3 linked regions of the Schizosaccharomyces pombe genome follow. Changing the gene in region 2 together with the main gene of any one other region gives a genetic interaction. Each region holds a gene or a part of one and is shown on either strand. Other genes may lie near its edges.

Region 1 (7,481 bases), on a different chromosome or scaffold from region 2:
TACCACTAGCAATAATCTTAACGACATACGATTCTCCTTTAAAAAATCTTTCAATCTATTTATTCTTACTTCTCTTTGTGTGGCATCAAATTCTTGTACCAATAATGGGTCTATTGCTTCAAATGACTCTTACACTTTCCATTTGTTTCCCTATTTACTAGTTTACCCTAAACTGCGTTTTGCACTTGACGGTTGTTCATTTTGGTGAACAGTCATAACACTTGAACTGAATGTGTTTTCTAAGAAGTTTGTTTGGTTTGCAATGTTACATCCTTGTTCTCTGGGTGTTAGTGAAAGTCACTCTCGTTAATCTTGACTAGGTATATATTTCAGTTAACCGTTATTTTCGGTTTCACCTCGAAATAAATGTTTTTTGTTGATTATATAAGCGCAAGCGTTTGAAAAAAGAGTTAGAATTTTGTAAAGGATTTTTTTTTTCCGAAATTGTCTTTAAGTACAGTTCAATAACTTACAAAATCTTATCCTTTTACCATACATTGTTAATTGTGCATTTCAACTGTTTAATTAGATATAACTGATTATTAGCATATACTATAAAAATGACTGTAGATGTGTATATATATTTCAAAAGTTGAATCACATAGCCCAATCTTTGGTATATATGTGAATATAATTCAGCAAACAACTTCCACGAGATATAAGTCTTCTAAAAACATAGGGCGTGTCGTCAAAAAATGATATAAATAATCCCAATCGTCAAAGATATATCAGTGAAAGAATATACTGACAGACGATCATTAAGGACTATTCAAATCTGCTTCGCAATTGAACAATTTAAAAAAATGAGTGCTGCTCTTTAGGAAGTTTGAGTTATTTGTGATAAAATGATAAGAACTTAAAACCATAGTAAAATAATTACCATTAATTCCAACCAAGCCAAGATCGACGCATTACACGCCACACAGTAACTTCTCCACTCTTTAAATCACCGAATTTGTAGCTTGCAACTGAAACCTTCTTGGACTCTCTGCCTTGTTCCAACACCCTAATCTTCAGTTTCGAAACATCCCACTCTGATATGATACCATAATGCATGGGCTTACCAACTTCAAGAGAGTATTTTGAACGAAGAGTACCTTTTTGTCCACTAAATTTAGCCTTATCAAATGTAACTATATCACCTGGGCGAATCTCACCAATTTGTTGCACAGTAACATTTCCAACATTCTTGTAAATCACACCTCCAAAAGTCTGTTTGTTTATAGGTTCGAGATTATGCGCCAGTATCGACATAACGGAATTAACAAAAGTGAATGCAGAACCATCACCAACCATGCTACCTTGGTAAGCTCGGGCTTTTTTCAAAATTGTAGAGCCATAACAAGCATATTCCTCATCTAATCTAGCTTTTGAAGGCTGTGCTGGTGGAGCTAGTTGAAGTTGAGATAATTGTGTAATATTTTGGTTATGTGGGTTGAATGTAGCTGTCAAGACTGTTTGGCTGTAGTCAGGGAACAGTATGTGTACAGACTTGTATTTTTTATCTTGCCCTGTAATTCCTTCTTTTATCATATATAGAACAGAGTCATTCATCTGCACTACGGATTTAGGAACAGCAGTAGAATTCAGCCACCATTTCTCAGAAGCGCAAGGCTCAACCGGCTTTGCAGAAAAGCTTTCGTTAAAAGGTCCAGTAGTAGAGACAATAGAAGGTTTCTTACTAGCTCTACTCGAAGAGCGCGAAAGATGTCGATGAAGAGATTTACGACTGTCTTGATGCGCTAATGACGTACGAGTAGAAGATGAATCAGCATGTCCTTCATTGTGATGATGATGGTGTTCTCCAGACTTTGAAGACTTACGACTGCTTGTCGATGTTTCATGCCTTTCAGCTTTAGATTTCGACCTTGAAACTGAAGTACGTGCTGGAGCAGCAGAAGCCATAGAAGAAGAAGTTGGAGAAGGTGAGGCATTCGAGTGTGGCGACGGAACCGAAGATCTTGGTGTCGAAACTGAAGGGGCTTCAGAAGAAGGTGCAGGTACTGGAGGAGCCTTTGCAGTAGGAACTGGTACTGGTGGAAGCCCAGCGGAAGGTGTCGGCACCGGTGGAGCTGTAGATGGTGGGGGGACTGGAGGAACACCCACAGAAGGCTTTGGTACCGGTGGAGCTTCACTTGGTGGAGGCACCGGTGGGACACCCGCAGCAGGCTTTGGTACTGGTGGAATTCCAGAAGAAGGTGCTGGCACTGGTGGAGCTGCAACTGAAGGCTTTGGAACTGGTGGAGCTCCTGAAGGCGCTGGCACTGGTGGAGCTGCAACTGAAGGCTTTGGAACTGGTGGAGCTCCCGAAGGTACTGGCACTGGTGGAGCTGCAACTGAAGGCTTTGGAACTGGTGGAGCTCCTGAAGGCGCTGGCACCGGTGGAACTGCAACTGAAGGCTTTGGTACCGGTGGGGCTGCGACCGAAGGCTTTGGCACTGGTGGAATTCCAGAAGGTGCTGGCACCGGTGGAGCTCCAGACGGAGCTGGAATTGATGGAATTTCAGATGAAGGTGCTGGTACTGGTGGTGGTGCTGATGGAGCTCCAGAAGAAGATTTCGGTACTGGTGGAGTACTAGTGGGTATGGGTACAGGAGGGGCAGTAGAAGGTACTGGGATTGGTGGAGCATCAGCTGAAGGCAATGGCACCGGAGGTGCTTTAGACGAAAGTTTAGGAACTGGAGGTACCCTGGCTAGCGGAGCAGCAGGTGAAGTTGATACTGGTTTCGACAAAGGCGCCGAGGGTGGATGATCCTTTGGAGGTTCAGAAGTCGGCGAAGATAGTATATTGCTTACTGGTAAAGGTGGAGGAATAGAGGGAGGAGCAGCAGGCCTTGGTCCAGAAGCTTTGCGTCCATCGTTTGATGGACGTGTCAACTTGGTGGGTAATCTCATATTTGAGCCTAATTGAGTAATTTCTTGAGTTAACCCTGTACTAGATTGATGTGTTGCTGAGGCATCAGCAACAGGAGAAGCTTTGCTTTCGGTAACATCTTGCTTCAAAGGTGGAGTAGCAACATTTGATATGGTAGGATGACCTTGAAAAGTAGCAGTACTAGGAGTTGGAGCATGTATTACCGTAGCATTAAAACTTTCTTCCTCATAAGAAGGTTGAGGTTCGGGAGCAGGAGATTCAAGATAGCTATGAGGTTCGTAAAAATCCACATTTAAACTATTAAAATCCGCTGGAGGAGGAGATGGTAAAGGATGACCGATAGAAGAGCTAGGCGAGGCCATTTCGTCGGGTAAAGCGGGGCGACCACCAGAAGTTACAATAGAAACAGGAACAACATTTCGAAGTTGGGAACCAGTTGAAGGTCTGGACTGGTGACCACGAACACGATTTGACTTTTTTGGGAACATAAATTCATTATCTCCAAATTCGCCAGAGGGCGTCTTTGGCAAAGGAGGTGGGCTAAATATACGTGGAACTGCTGGTAAATCATCTAAATCATCATGTGCAAGACTGGCTAAAGTGTCGACTTTACCAAACCGTAAGCCAGGCGGAGGAAGAGCACGCGCACTGGTGGAAGGGTCAACTTCATTCTGCTTATCCTCGTCAATACTGTCCTCAGTGACCTCAGAAATGCGACTGGGAAGTTTGCGCTCTATGGGTTCAAACGACTTGGAGGTAAAATCGGGCGAATGCCAGGTGCGAGGAGGCGTAATTGGTGAGTTAGCAGCCGATTCTACATCAGCTGTAGCACCGGCACCAGCTTCTTTCGGGGGATCAATTCCATCAATTACTTTACGAACAGCACGAGCAGGATCCAGCAAAGAAGTTGGGGAAGGAGTTACCACTGAAGAGCTATCTTGTGGAGCCATGAGACGAGTGACTTGTGGAGCAGAAGGCTTTTGGGGTACCGCTTCGTGTGCTTCATTAGAGGCAAGTGTTTCCTTATCAAAGTTAGTAATAATTGGAGGAGGAGAAAGCACTTTTTGCTTCTCCGGAGAAGGAGTTTTATGAACTTGCTGTTCGGAAGTTTCCTGAGTTTCTGGGATTACTGGTCCCTTAGTCTCTTCCTCATTATTGGGACCCTCAGCAACAATAGCTTTATCTGCATCGTTGGAAGGCTCAGTGACCTTTATTGGTTGGTCGGCAGACATAAGGCCTGGTAAAGGCATTATATTCCGGGGGGTATCAGGAGTATCACGGTATTCTGCTGGTTGGTTTTGAGAAGGTTCGGAAGGAAGTGGACGCTCCTCCTCCTTCGGTGACGGAGCCTGCTGAGCATTCGATTGTTCAGTAGGTTGAGTAGAAGTGGAAGAAGAGTCTTTTGGTGGAGAAGAGTCATTAGTGGTGCTCTTTGCTTCCTCGGAGGATTTGGCAGGAGTTCTCCTCAAAGTGTTTTTCCGTCCAATAGGTGCAGCTAGACCAGGCAATCCAAAAACATGCATACCAATACCTCCACTCATTTTTGCCATTCGTTCGCGTAGGGCAATTCGTTTAGCTTCTTCGGGATCAATTTGTTCTTCCTCCTGCTCTTGTTCTTGTTCTTCCTCTACATCTTTATTCTCATCATCCTTTTCCGATGGTTCATCCTGGTCTTCAGGTTCAGATTCGGGTTCGTGAGTGCTATAGGGACTGTGCATCTCATCTGACTCAGCATCGTCATATTCATCTTCCTCCTGCTCACTGATTTCGCCCTGTGATTTACCGGGCTTTTGAGGATCCAAGTTAAGGCGCTGAGAAAAGGCTCGATTCAAATCAGTAAGGGGTTTAGCGGGCTTTGAGCTTGAAGCTGGCTCATCGGAATTCGCAGTATTGGAAACAACAAAAGGATCGTCATCCTTTGCAACTCGCTGGCTCTTTGATAATTCTTCTGCCTGTGAGTCCGCAGACGGAGATTGATGGGAGGACTCAGTAGCCATGGTGGAAGAAGCTGCGGGATGAGTGCGTTCCAAAACGGTTATTGCGGATGCAGATGCGTTATCAAGATACCTTAAAGAGTGTTGGGTAGTTGCGATGTTTGGTAAATCAGTTGGGCACTGTGAATGAGTACAATCGACAAGAAAAACTGAATTTGGGTTAGAGGGGATGACGGTAGACGTGTTGGTGGAAGTAGTAATGTGGGTAGTGGTGGTGTTGGTTACAGCAGCACCGGTAGCAGCATCCTCACCACCAGTAATAGTGTGAGTAGCGGTAAGTGGTAGCGAGTCGTTCTCAGTGGAGCAAGATGGCGTCTCTTCAGATATGGTATATGGAGCTGAGAATGTATGCAATTTTTCCACATTTTTTAAAGAATGTGGACGCGAGTTGCTGTCGTTACCGAATGGCGCACTCAATGTATCCACATCAACTATCTTCGTAAGTGCTTCACTTGTACTGTCAATAAAGTCATTAGCTGAAAGATATGATTCTGTATCGGCACCAAGATGCTCTGTATTGTTGGAAATCGACTTGATGCTACGTGTAATAGAAGGAGCATAACCTAAGGAAGAGTTGCGAGAATGAACAGCACTAGTTGGCGTAGGTTGATGAAGAGCCATTTCGCTAGCACGTTCTACAAACACAGCATCCTCTGCTGGCTCGGTAAAGTCCTTTGGAAAGGAGCCAATTTTCCTGTTACCGTCCGAGTCCACATATGTTCCGGTATACCAGTCGCCGTCCAGATTACTGACGACGTCGATAACTTGGCCTGGATCAAATTCCAAGTCATCGGAGAAGCTGCTTCTATAAGGATAGAGTGCAACCACTCTTGTGGGAAACGAGCTCATCGTGGAGCCTGCGATCCGCTAATACTTTTTTTAAGTACAAAGAGAGATCAGATAAACAATGAACCAGTATAAAAAGAATGGTACCATTCAATATACAATACACTGATTCTTTTTTCCTAAAACACAGATATACAAAAAGCCAAAAAAAGAGAAAACAAGATACCAAAGATGAAGGCTCCGCCGATTTATTTTACCACTAAAAATATATACAAATGATAGCGAAGCTGAACGTCATCGTTAATCTCTTCTATTAGGATATCTAAGCCAGTACACTGTCATTTTGGTTCCTAAAGGGCACGCGATTTGTGCAGACAAAGAAGTTTGGTCAATCTTAACAGCAATAAACACCCAAATGATAATATCGCACGTGAAGAAGCGACTGACTACATGTGAGACGATTTTCAATGAATGAACATTGTGGGGAAAGGATCTGGGGAATTCCCTTCCAATCGTAACATCTTGTTGACAGTGATTCGTTCGACTAGCCAAAGGTAGCGTAATGCACTGTAAGATTATTGGGTATTATTTTGCTTATCAATGTTGATTGGTTTTTGTTATTTAACGTTATAATAATATTTACGCAATTGGATCTGGTTTCCTATTTTACATAAGGATACACTAGCAATCCTAAAACGAAGCCACAGCATCGTTGGTTTGCTATATTTACGATTACTGTGTGGGTGTGGGGTATGGTATGGATATGGATATGAATCATTAAGATTAAGGACCAGTTATTTACTAGTGGAAGATATGAATAGGGTGGATGTAAATTTATCATTATTATTTTTAACGGTAAAATGATTTTCTTAAAGAGACCTACAAAACTTTCTTTACATGATTGGTGCAACGCATGCTTTTCTTTATTTTTTTTCCTTTGTCCACACTCAACTGAGAGGGTAATTTCTATCAAAATTTTTAGTACCAAGGCCAACGCACTGTCTTAGTTCGCTGTAAATGAATTGCGTAACTCAAGAACTCTTTAACAAAAATTGCACGGCGCTAAAGTATTTTTACGATGCTCATTCCTCCTTCCAATGCTTGACTGACTCATATCTGCCTAATAGCGATTTTTAAGACCTTCTGTTTTCCAGCTGACTCCAATATATCCAATTCAGATATGAACAAAAAATCAATTCTCAAAAAGCCGAAAAATGCTCAAAGCACTCAAGAAAAGCAATTGATCACGTGGTCGAAGAGTCTTATAGATGAAGCACGCAGTCGACTTCAGTATGATTTTTTTGCCCTCGAATGGATTGAAAAGCTGGTTGATCCGGTTTCCCTAGAAACTTTAGAGGAAGCTCGTAAATACCTTCGAAAAAGTGATTACGATCAAGTGGTGAAGGAGCGTAAACTCGTCAATCTGTGCGGTTATCCCGTTTGTCCTTATGAACCTAAGCAGCAAACTAGGTATAAATTAGAAGATTCAGGAATGAAGGTCTACGGTGGACTCAACTATTATTGCTCGAAGGATTGCTTTCTAAAAAGTTGTCAATATATGGTTGAGTTGAGCGACGAACCATTATGGATACGTGAAGATGCTCGCGAAGCTATGAAACAACATCTCGATCCTCGTCAAGATGAAGCATTTCGTAAAGAGTTGGAAAACAAAAAAATTGAAGATGTACGCTTACTCCTGCAAGCGTTGCCTGTGGGTTATAAGGCAAAAGTTGGTGAAATCGTTGAACATCCTTTGGCTAATGAACAATCATAAAGCAAATGGAAGTTTATCAAATTTTTTCTTTTCACCCCAGAATATGTATAAT
Region 2 (6,069 bases):
CTTTTGGGGTAGTTTTTTCTTCTTTTATCGAGATAATTGGCCGTATAAAAGGTGGCAGAACCAACACCAACAGCAAATGTAATCGGTTTCCATAATGGTGTTGGTTTAATATTTTCAATTCTGATCCATGGTCTGTAATAAAACCTTTTTTGTCCAAATTTCCAGAGTAAACTTTGAAAATTCAAACGATTCATCTGCGTATTAAATATATGTGAGAAAAGGTGAGTAAGGACTATGAGGTTGTATGCATAGAAACGCTAGTGTTGCCTAAGATAGAGAAATAAGAATCCGCTTACGCTTCTCACAGTACCTTAAGATCTTTACCAATATTTATTTAACTTCAAGCAATTTAAGTTATTTCTTTATATATTCTGTCTTACTTTTTATTCTCCTAATTACGTTACTTGCATAATCTTATATAAATATATATGCCAAACAATGTTTTTAACAAGTTAATTAACATAAAAAGATTTAATGAACCATATAGTCACGATTCATTAATCATTTGCTAAACTTGCAATGCTCGAGATAAACTAGAGAATTTACTAGTAAAAATTGTTATAATATATATTAAACTAAAAAGTCCAAATACCATATACAGAAGCAAAGTTCAATTTACTATTTTTAATTTTATTTTAACGCTCTTCATTTCCAAACCATTAAAAAAGAACAAAAAAACAAAATAAAATAACAAACAATTAAACCCGATTAAATTCTCTGTAGACCTTTAAAATATATGCTAGTATGCATATTTGCAGTGATATTTCTTTCCCCCCCCCCCACTTAAGTACTCCATGTGGGTTAAACTTAATCTTTGATAAATACCATTTCCCAAACAGCTAACGCCCAAGTGTTTTCAGTTATTCGCCATGGGATGTCCAAATTGCGGTTCAACTACTTTTGAATCTGATACCGCTTCTGGAAATACATATTGGTAAGTTGTTTTTTTTATTATATAATTTTAACGTGGCAATTGACTGCTAACCATTGAATAGTACACAATGCGGTGTTGTCGTCGAGCAAGATGCAATTGTTTCGGAAGTGACATTCGGAGAGGCTTCAACTGGTGCAGCTGTTGTTCAGGGTTCTCTTGTGAGTAATGATCAAAGTAAGTTAGAAGGCAATCATCCAGCAATGCGGTGTTTTACAGTTCTGATGCAGTCACCTTTTTTTGTTCAGTCTGTGTTAAATTTTGGTTTGATCTTTTACTAATAGACACCTCTTCGTCCATATTTTTCATCGACTTATATCTAACACAGCTTTAGCTCATGCTCGGACTTTTGGTGGCCCTTACAGAAATCAAGGATCCGTAGAATCCAGAGAACTTACCATTGCAAACGGACGTCGCCGAATTTCGGCATTGGCAATTGCTTTAAAACTTAACGAACGCCATATCGAAGCAGCAGTTCGCTACTTTACACTGGCAATTAACAACAACTTTATAAAAGGAAGGAGATCGCAATACGTTGTTGCATCCTGTTTGTATATTGTTTGCCGGATATCTAAGACGTCTCATATGTTAATCGATTTTTCTGATATTTTGCAAATTAACGTTTTTAAGCTTGGGTCTACTTTTCTCAAGTTGTGCCGCGTTTTAAGGCCTAATTTACCTCTTTTAGATCCGTCTTTATATATCAGTAGATTTGCTTCTTTACTCGAATTTGGACCGGAAACACATCGTGTCGCAAACGACGCTATCAGATTGGTAGCGCGAATGAATAGAGACTGGATGCAAATTGGTCGTCGGCCAGCTGGAATTTGTGGTGCATGCTTACTCATTGCAGCAAGAATGAATAATTTTCGACGAAGCGTACGAGAAGTGGTTCATGTCGTGAAAGTTGCGGATATCACTATTCAAAAACGCCTTGATGAGTTTAAATTAACTGAGAGCGGTGATCTTTCAATCGCCGACTTTCGAAACATTTGGCTGGAAGGACAGAGCGATCCTCCTAGCTTTACTAAAAATCAAAAGTTTCAACAATACGGTGCTCAAAAAGTTTCAAACATTGATCACACACAAGAATACATGTCCCCTATTAAAAGGACCCCGGATTTTGATGGCAACGAAGTTAAGTCTGAAGAGCTTTCGCAAACAGTAAAAGTTGAATCTCAAGAAACTCCTGTGCATTTGAAGGCCGATGAAAGAGAAATTAGGAAAGAGGTTACTGAAACCCTTAAGGGCGATGAACTTAGAAAGATTTCTCTACAAGTTAACGTTAAATTTTCGGAGGAAGAAGTTACCTTAGAAGACGTTGATGATGATGAAATTGAAGATATTTTGCTTGACAAGGATGAAATATTGACTAAAACTCAAGTTTGGATGGAGTTGAATAAAGATTATTTAGCTGAGGAAGAGGCGAAAAATTTAAAACTCCAAGAAGATTTAAAAAAAGGAATTGTCCGACAACCTCGTAAAAGAAGACGATATCGTCCTAGAGATAGCACTAGTGATGGAATAGCCGATACTGCTGCTGAAAGTGCAAAAGAAATGATGCAACAAAGAGCTTTTTCAAAAAAAATCAACTATGAAGCTTTGGATATGTTATTTGACGAAGAGCAGTCGTAACTTTTTACTAAATTTGGGCAATTGGGAGTTTTTTGGGGCTATTTAAGAACATTCGTTTTTTTGTTGTACGATAATCCTTTTTTATACATTAATTTATTAATTTTAGAGTTTATTTAACGATTTATTTATAAGGATTAATGAATCTTTATAAATAATTTTAATATTCATAAAAAAGGCCGCATGAATTTTTAGTTTTTTTCTATCACTGAGTAATTATTAGTATCCATCTAACGAAAGAAAATTCTGTGTTTAACAACTAAACACTGGTAGTAGATTAATCGTACACAGCTTTAAAAAGATTTGTTAAAATGAAGAGAGATTCAAAGGGACCGTAGTGCCACTACCACCCCGATAAACTTTAGGGACTCCAAGAAAGGGATGAGGAATTGGTAAGTAACTATCATCCTTAAAGTGGAATCTTCCATGATCATCAACTAGAGTTTTGTGTTAATAAAAAAATAATGCTTTTAATGATCGCAAACTTACCACGATTAGGTCGCTGCTGCAAGACGTAAGAAGATGGAGGAACTGGAGGAACAGAAGCTGAAGGAATGGATGGACCTCTATTAGGAAATTTAGGAGATTCTGATGTAACGTTAGGTGCATGTCCTGCTGGTGGAGCAAAAGAAGAAGGGCGTGATGATGTATTAGCAACAGGAGCTTGAGATAGAGGAGGTGGAGGAACTTTAGGTGGCATCGGAGGTACCGCTGAGGGCAATGAAGGAGCTGAAGGAGGAGATTTCACCGGTGCAGCAGGTTGTGCAGGTGGAGGTAGAGACGATGGAATAGGAGGTGCCTTTGAAGGAATAGGTGGAGCAGATGCAGGAGATGGTGGAGGAATTGAAGGTCGAGGGGGCGCACTTGTTGGCGGACGCAACTCAGATTGTGGAGTAGGAGGAGCAGGAGCGGAAGGTGGTGCGGCTGAAGCACTTGACTTTCCAATATGACGAAGCTTAGGCATGCCGCCAGCAAATAAACCTCCTAATGCAGGCATGGAAGGTCTCTCTTCTGCTTGCTGAGTATTATTTGAAGAAGTCGGTAAAGAGGGTGCGCCTGTGGGTACAGGAGGAGCAGCAAAGCTTTTTGGAGTGTTAGATTTACGTTCGCCTACGACACCTCCTCCGACAACGGGAGCCGATCGGTCGTTCGTTGTAGCTTTTTTTAGTTTCTTTCCTTTCTGGATAGAATTGAGCAGAGCTGATCGATCTCCGGTCATTAGAGGGGGGGCCGGAGCAGCAGCAGCAGGCGCTGGTGCTGGAGGAGGAGGCGGTGGTGCAGGTGCCATTTTATAAGAAGGAAGAATTAAAAATCAAAAATAAATCTTAACAAGCTTGAGGTCTGTAATCAAAATAGTAGATAATTCGCCTGTACACCTAACAATACAATAAAAGTAAAAGTTAAATTATCAGATTTTAAATGATTTTACAAAAAATATTCGCTATATACTTTGACAATAATAAATATAACTCAAAATATAAAGTGGAAACACGGGTATGGGTTTTAACTATGAGCTACCCTAAGCTTTCTACCACCACCATGCACTACAAGTAACAGGATTGTACCTTCTAGTGATTATTCAATTTAATGCATCTTAGTACAACACCATACGTATTCTGACCGGAACCAATCTGGAAAGTTTAGACTGGTGAATTTTTGAGGAATTTAAATAGATTTAATGTCGGATTCTAAAGAAGACATCCGCAACGGTCAAGAGGAAGATGATTTGTTTAGTGAGAATGAAGACAATCATACTTCGCAGCAAGATGAACTTATAAATGGCCATATAGAAAACGATAGTGAAACAGCCGTTAGCGATGACGGCTTGTTTTCGAATACAGAAGAGGCTACTGAAGCCCCTGAAGCAGAGTAAGTTGCAGTCTTATAGATGAAGCGAATTGATTCTAGCCGATGGTAGTTCTAAATGTGTATTTATTATACAGCTGCCACAGTGGTGAAAGTAATAAATCGCTTCATGAGGCTTTTTAGTAAAAAATCAAAAATTAGCGTCTTTTACTATAGCAAGCTATTTAAATCTATGCATCCTAACAAATGTTAGTGTTCCTGTAAAGAAAGTCCTTGAAGTCGCTGTTCCCAATTTCAAATCACCAGCTTCTGCTAGTAATGACGTGTTTCATGCTCATATTCCAAATTTCCTTTCTGTGGAACAGACTCCGTACGATCCAGAGCAGTACGCCGCGGAAGCCGAAGCAGATGCAGCTTTATTAGAACACGACGCGCATTGGGGTCAAAGAATAAAACATAAAGTTGATAATACTGTCCGCTGGCGATTGGGGCCGTCTGGAAGCTATCAATCGAATGCGCAAATTGTACAATGGTCTGATGGTTCATATTCACTTCGCATTGGTAACGACATATATGATACCCAAAATAAATTAATATCTCAACCAACTTTTGTTACTGCCTCACATGAAGCACAACATTTACTGAGAGTTCAAACATCCTTCAAAAGCAGTTTTACATTCCTCCCTTCAGCCATTAACACTGCTACAAGATCAAAATTGCCATCTATGCGTCTCACCACAGTCCAGGTTCCTAGTCGAAGCGTACAAGAAATTATTATTGAAAAGGATCCAGAACTACTAAAGCGTCAGGCTGAAAAATATGAGGAGGAACGAAGTCGAGCTCGGCGACGTTTAGAGAAAAGAAAGCAATTGAACAATTATCAGAATGGAACAGGAGAAGAAGAAGAGGATTACTCTTCCTTCTACGGTCCCCGTTCTACTTATAGCGAACAAAATGAAATCATTGACAGTGACCGTATGGATCGTTTAAAACGAATTAAACAAGAAGGAGCTGGTCAATATCGTGGTTATAATAAGGATCTGGAAGAAAATGAAGAAGATGACCTTGGTGACTTTATAGCGGAAGAGGAAGAGGAAGAGGAACAAGAAGAGGAACAAGAAGAAGATGAAGAGGATGAAGAAGAAGTTGGAGCTGGCTCCGATATAAAAGGATTTGATGCGGATAAAGAAGCAAGTGTAGCACGAGCTACTATTAATAAATATGAAGACGATGAGGTAATTCCTAGCGCAGTGGAAACTGACAGATCCGAGACCGTTACAGAGACTTCTGTCGGTGATGGTTCTGTACAAAGAAGAGTGAAGCGTCGGATTGTTGAGAGCGATAGCGAATAAATCCAAACAGCTTGTAATTCAATTTTTGTAAATAGCCAATTTGTTTGTTTGCGAAGTATGGTCTCTGTGTTATTTCGTTGATTTAAAAGATGTTTATTAATTGTACATTATTCTTATATCTTGTCTAATTTTTAACGCAATGGGATTCACATGTACAATAGCGAGAATTGTAGTGAGCAACTATATAAAATAAAACTACTTTTTTTAAAGCAAATATGGCGGATTAGGTGTTGAGATGTATTTCTGTGATCATTAAAGCGTGATATGAGTTCCTACCACAAACTATCATATCGGTTACCTTTGGAAGAGCCTGCTTGACCGTTGTTAATATAAGAGTAAGCAGAACGG
Region 3 (6,508 bases), 2.0 Mb from region 2:
GGTTCTAGGGCGGCATTTCCGTTGAGACTTGCCCATGTTGATGAATATGTAAAAGAAGGAATTGCCCTTTGCGGGGACGCTGCTCATAACACTCATCCATTAGCTGGACAGGGATTAAATACTGGAATTCAGGATGTTGAATCTTTAATATCAGCACTCTCTTTTGCTATCAAGCACGGTCAGGATATTGGTAGTGTTTTTTCACTCCAACCGTATTTCCGTGACCGTTACTTCAAAAACCATGTTTATCTAGGAGTCGTTGATAAGTTCCACAAGCTGTACGCAATGGAAAATCCGGTGGTCACTTCTGTACGAACCCTTGGACTTTCATTATTTGATCGCAGTGCTAGCTTGAAAAACTTCATTCTTTCTACGGTAGCTAATGGAATTTAGTATTGTCGAAGTCTACTATACTATATTTACGTTTTACCACTGGAGCTGACTAATTTATTCAAACAATAAACAAGATAATGATTTTAATATTATTACAGAAGCTATCACTTTTGTCCCATTTATAAGTATACGCTATGCAATGTATCAACTATATTTCACAATTAAATTACTATTTAGCTTTGCTTAATCAAAGTCGTCGACGAAGAGTATTCTCAATCTATCACAATAAAACATGCAAGAAGCAAATACTAGAAGCTTTCATTGATAGCTAAAAAACATGCGATAGGAGAGACTATAGTTGTCACAAGCCATTCATTATTGCAAATTAAGAATCAAGCAATGTACTGGCCGTATTATATATACATCATAATGAAAGCTCACCAATCTTCTTCTTCATCACTACCACGCACAGCTGATGCTCGCATGCGCAAGGCATCAGCAAGTGAACCAGCTAAGTTGTTGACTTCAGCTGGACTAGCATTATTATTCGCTTGAGCTGCAACATTAGTCGAAGAAGCGGTGGTTTGAGGTGTAGAACCTTTGTATTCTGTCACATAGGTTGCGGGAACCCATCCTTCAGCACCATTCTTTAAAGCAAGCCACCACCCGCTTGGCTCCTTTTGAACAATTTCTATAATTTCGTCTTTCTTGATAGTCATTTCATTTGGACTGCGTCCCGCAAAGTCATATAAGGCCAAGTACAAGTCTTTCTTTTCGACTTCAGCGGGAGGAGGAGGAGGAGGAGGAGGAACAGCACTAGGCTTGCTGACGTTATTAGCAACTGGAGCAGAGGGTTTAGAGATATTGCTTGGAGAAGAAGCTGCAGAAGTTACCGTGGAAGGAGCTGGTTTAGAAGCAGAAACAGTGGTTGCTTGCTTAATAGTTGTAGTCGTACTTGTAACTGGGGCTGCAGCTTGAGTTGTATTAGGACGAGCTTGCATAGCAGGAGCAGGGGGACGATTTTGGGTTTGTTGAGCAGTACTTACGGGATTAGCCATAGGAGCAGGTTTGCTCTTCGCAGCCGGCATAGATACGGGCTTTGTAGCAGCAGGTTTGTTCTGCACAACTGGGCGAGGCCCTCTAGCAGCTGCTGTACTACCACCAGTTGCTAAGCGAGGGAAAGGCTTACTCTTACTGGTAGGAGGCAAGCCAGTACCAACATGAATAGTTCCACTCTTGTAGTAGTCATAATCCTTAGTGGTTTCGTCTTTTGCCGTCTTAACAGTTTGTACCTTGCCAGGCTTTCGGCAGTATTGAATGGTGGGACCCACGATAACTTGAATATTACGATTGATTCTCTTTAAGGTAGTTATAAATTCTGTTTTGAAAAAGCATCGCAAAAACATATCTCCATTTTGGCTGGACTTATTACGAATTGCAACCCAATCATCTTGCAAATTTGTAAGACCAACAGAATCGATGGAAGATACAGCGAACTTCTTCTCCACCTGTTGTGTGAGCTTTTGGTCAACAATTTTTGTAATCACCAAATATAAATTCTTTTTGGTAAGAACCAGTTGACGAGGAGAAGGTTTGGAAGTGCGGCCTAGCTTATGAACAAGGACCTCACATCTCATTGAGAAAATTACGTGATCGTTTTGAGAGAGGCCGCATGTGTTCCATAGAGTACCATTAGGCTTTGAAGCTGATAGATAATCTCCATAAAACTTACGGGATCCCAAAATACTATATCTTCTGCGTTGCTTTTTACCTTGCAAAAGTTTAGTACCCTCATTACGAACACGTTCAAGTTCCATGTTAACTTTGTTCCTATTCCACAACTTCTGAATACAAGCAGCAGCTTCAGATCTTCTTCTAACATAAGAACGCCAAGCACGTTGTATACGGGTTGCCATTGTATCCCAAAACTTATCACGCATGTCTTCGAGCGCGAATAAGGTCTCCGGATTTTTAATGAAAACTTTGCTAGTACCCATTTGGTATTCAGATGAAGGAATATTGGTATCTTTCAAAATCTGTTCGCAAGCAGACTTATCATCACCCTGCCAAGTGTATTCTCCTGCATAACTGGTTTTACCACTAAGAACTGCAAAACGCTGAGCAAACGTATCGAAAGCTTGACGATAAGCAAAACCAGCACGACGAATACGAATGTTTTCTTGCAAACCTAAATATTTGATTTGATGTAAAACCATCTGCTGATCGTAATCGTTAGGCGACTTAGTCTGATTGGGTTTAATCGTACGTATATACGATGGTTGACATTTCATAAGAGTCTCTACTAAATCATTAGCAGAAGTTTTGATACGATCACCAGCTGTAGGAGGACGACGACGGGAGTTACTCTCTTCAGCCACTGGGAAAATAGATTTCATGAACTCGTTGTTGGAAGAATGAATAAGGTTAAGAATATCAGTTGCTAACTGATCCTTATTCTTATCGGTCATTCCTGTAATGCTGTAGGTTACATCACCAGCGTAATGTTTGACTATAAATTGATTTTGTCTCTGTTCAAAATGTGGATTGGAGGATAAAAAGTTTAACCGCTGAGCAAAAGCACTATCCGCCGCAGCAGAGTCAGCATGAGCGGTAGCGATAGCGTCGTTCATTGCTGCGAAAAGACCAGGAGGTCGTTTGGATTCAATCAAATCACATACAACTTTATTGTTGAAATATTTGATAGGAGTCCAAGCAATTTGCTCACGCACGTATTCTTCCTGTTCAGTTTTCAAAGTAAGTTCTATAAAAATTTGTTGCAATTTTTCATTAACATAGTTAATGCACAATTGTTCAAAAGAGTTGTTTTCAAAGATTTCAAAGCCGTAAATATCTAAAATACCAATCGAATTGGAAACGCTGTTGTCTGATGTGACCAAAGCTTTGTTGACACGTTCGACAATCCAATCAAAAAGACAGTTATAAATCGCCATAGACAAAGCATCACGAACAGCCAAAGCTTGTGTTGGATTTAAGGGGACTTCATATACAGATCCGCGCCTTGCACCATGCTGAGTTTGCATAATACGAATTGTCAAGGCACGCTCAATAGCCGCAACAGGAACACCGATCAAATAGCCTAAAAATTCGGTGATGCTCTTGTCAGAAATCACGCTACCACCATCTTGGCCTTCTTGAAATTGAATATTTCCTAACCAAAGGATGATAGAAAGCATCCTAAATATTTCATCTTGCTCCGGCTCGGTGATACCAATAACCTTCATGGCGTTCATCGTTCCTTGGAAGTCCTTCTCATCTGAAATCCCATCAACCGACAAACATTGACAAGCAGAAGTGTAAACATAATTCTCCGGACCTTGAATGCCATATGTATCACGATATTTCTGAGGAGCGCTCTTGGTGAATTGATAGAAAATATGGAAATTACGCTCATTGCGAACTTGATTAACAATTCGGTTCTTTTCTAATAAGTAGTTCGTAATTTTAGCGCCGACAGGAACACCTCCGGAATTAAAAATCATTTCTAAATACTTTCCATGACGAGAAGAATTATTATTGCGAAGAGTTTTTGCACAACCAAAACTTTCCAATAAAGGATTGGTAGCTAAAATAATTTCGGAAACTCTTTCAATTTCAGTGCCAACGGACTTTGAAACATGTGTAATATATTGCATGATCCTTTTTGCAGCCTCAGTCTTACCAGCACCCGATTCACCAGAAATGATAATACATTGATTCTCATGATAAGACTTCATTTGATAGTAAGCGTTCTCAGCAATTGCATAAACGTGAGGGCTCGTTTCCAAACGGTTTTTTCCTTGATATGATTTCAAAATATCCATCGTATAAATACCCAGGTCTCGAAATGGATTTACAGAAATCAACACATGTCCAATATATGTATAAATCTCTCCATTGCGAAATCTCAGTTCCAAGTTTTTGTTAATTTCCTCATCTGTAATTTTCGAAAGTAGGGTTAAATCATCAACACCCACAGTCTTTTTGCGTGTGCTGGTATAAACAGCCTTTTTAATACCATTGCTTTTCCCAGTGCTATTGGGAGCAGCTGCAGTCGCAGCTTTCGCGCGGTTTGTTCTCTTAAGGATGGCCTAATTTATTAATTAGCTAACATTCGGCATGCATATTTACTTACCATAAAATCTATTCACTTATGGCCGAACAAGAGATAGGTTAACGACAAGTCCGCACTTACGTGTAGGTTTCTTCTAATACTGAGATAATTGCGTTACGGATCGTTAAAATGAGCGAAATATGAGTTTCTAGGTCAATATTGCCAAAGACCGTTCGAAACTTCAGACCCCAATTATTAAAATTGTACTTTAGCTGAAAATTGAATATACTTTAGCTTTCTGTCGTTTGCTTCATCCATTTTTGGTATTGACATTAAAACAATTACCTAGCCGAAAGAGGCTTGTTATGTAACATACTCGAACGAAACTTATCCAAATGTGTTTTAGGGTAACTTCATTAGGTAAGGTAACGAACACACTAAAGGTATGAAATTTGCGACTAATTATGATGAAGTGATAAACATAACGCGCTTGAATTAGTTAATACTTGATTTGATTATTGTGTGTTCATGTAGTCGATAAGATGAATTAAATGAACATGAATTTTCAATTATGAATATTTTAAGTCGAAGATACCTTTCATAAAGCGAGAAGTTTTGAAGTATTTTAGATATAACGGCTATCGCCGTTTCAAGAACCAAAGCAGCCGCAGATTATTATAACGCGACATAAAAGGTTGAATTCCCCAGCAAATACAACTGTAGTTCTCGTATTGACCTTGAGTATATTCTATGACAATTAACTTATTACAGATATTAGGATGTAACACAATATGAGAGAAGCTATATGATTTGCAGTAACTTAAACATAATCATCTGTTTATATCATTTATAAAAGAATACAAACAGTGATTTATAGACAACGTTTGTGAGTGCCATAATTAATTGAAATAACGGGGTTTATATATAATACCAAACTAAATGCACGAGATGAAAGCTAATCTACTTGCCTGTTACAGAGAAATACAAGGTACACAACTTTAGTAATGTCAGGATATCAAGTAGTGAGAACATGACAAGGCAGGCTCCTTTTAATTGCGAAATCGTAGAAATATCATAAGGAGCTAAATAAAGAACGGCAGGAAAGGTATTTACAACAAGAGTAATAAAACAGCGTATCAGATATCGATTTAGCGAAATATTAGACACATGATATACCTACTAAATCAGCATCCATAACAGCTTTCCCATTGTGAATTTAATCCATCAAGAAATTTAAAGAGTGGATAACATTCCTTATATAATTCTACTCTAAACAAATGCACCCAAGCTAAGGGCAATGCCTTGAGTTTTTGAACGAATGCGAACATGTCCTGAGATAGGACCGGAGACGGATTTTTCAACGCTAAGACTCATAAGTGCGTCTTCCCCAAAAATACTGCAGGCGTACAAATTAGCACTCAAAAAACCACAGTCACCACGCAGAGACGCGTCTGGAGTAAGACAGTTCATATTGGTTTTCTTCATTATTTTATGTAAGAAATCGTACAGACTAATGTCTTCGTTGGAAGAAATATCGACCTTGTTTTCCCATTCAAATTCCGTCCACATGCTACGGAATTGAGATTCGGGAATGAATGCGGGTTTTATATAATCAATAATGTTGACTGGAATGCCATTCAAAACAACAATTTTGTCTTCGTCGGATGCTTTACCACCATACACGATATTTCCAAAGATTACTGCAGACTCCGTTGAAGATACCTTTACCGTAGCCTGAACAGATTTAAAGGCATGAGGTCCTAAATTCATGGGTGGTGGACGCTCTACAACCTTAAGATCTCCCAACGTAGCCAAATCAACAGAGAGATTCTGTAACGTGGTATCCGTTCGATTAACCAATAATATGTCTAGAATAATATCAAATTGTTGTATCTTCACATATGCCTCACAGTAAACAGGATCTGTAAAACCGGCTAATTGTACGATATGATCTAATTTAGATGCCAAATCTTCCACTACCATACCATCGTTGGTGGCTTGTATGATGTCGGACTCAAAATTAAGATCCTGCTTTTCTTCAATGACCCTTTGAAATTGGCGAATATTCAGTAGCTCATCGGCTTGAACAGCATCACTTCCATTAACTAACAAATCTGCCTCCTT

What was found.
Region 1: of vrp1 (region 2) and bbc1, changing one suppresses a phenotype caused by changing the other (phenotypic suppression), as found in Schizosaccharomyces pombe (one study listed by BioGRID).
Region 3: mutations in vrp1 (region 2) and myo1 are lethal when combined (synthetic lethality), as found in Schizosaccharomyces pombe (one study listed by BioGRID).

The regions. Positions count from the first base shown.
Region 1 is NC_003424.3:4,105,064-4,112,544, reverse strand, and holds bbc1 (SH3 domain-containing protein), read right to left. Parts: upstream 5,898-7,481; 5' UTR 5,719-5,897; coding exon 883-5,718; 3' UTR 501-882; downstream 1-500. Other genes in the region: RNA polymerase II CTD phosphatase Rtr1, read left to right, coding at 6,836-7,429.
Region 2 is NC_003423.3:3,053,257-3,059,325, reverse strand, and holds vrp1 (verprolin), read right to left. Parts: upstream 4,062-6,069; 5' UTR 3,852-4,061; coding exon 3,053-3,851; intron 3,001-3,052; coding exon 2,870-3,000; 3' UTR 2,567-2,869; coding exon of another isoform or gene 1,266-2,566; intron 1,251-1,265; 3' UTR 1,109-1,250; coding exon of another isoform or gene 996-1,108; 3' UTR 935-995; coding exon of another isoform or gene 870-934; 3' UTR 523-869; downstream 1-522. Other genes in the region: rbd1 (rhomboid protease), read right to left, coding at 1-194; transcription factor TFIIIB subunit Brf1, read left to right, coding at 870-934, 996-1,108, 1,266-2,566; RNA polymerase II-associated Paf1 complex protein Leo1, read left to right, coding at 4,242-4,432, 4,623-5,721; SPOM_SPBC13E7.07 (uncharacterized protein), read right to left, coding at 5,994-6,069.
Region 3 is NC_003423.3:1,023,463-1,029,970, forward strand, and holds myo1 (myosin I myo1), read right to left. Parts: upstream 4,512-6,508; 5' UTR 4,469-4,511; coding exon 4,466-4,468; intron 4,422-4,465; coding exon 771-4,421; 3' UTR 501-770; downstream 1-500. Other genes in the region: monooxygenase Coq6, read left to right, coding at 1-393; coatomer beta subunit Sec26, read right to left, coding at 5,654-6,508. UniProt on the Schizosaccharomyces pombe protein: Type-I myosin implicated in the organization of the actin cytoskeleton. Required for proper actin cytoskeleton polarization.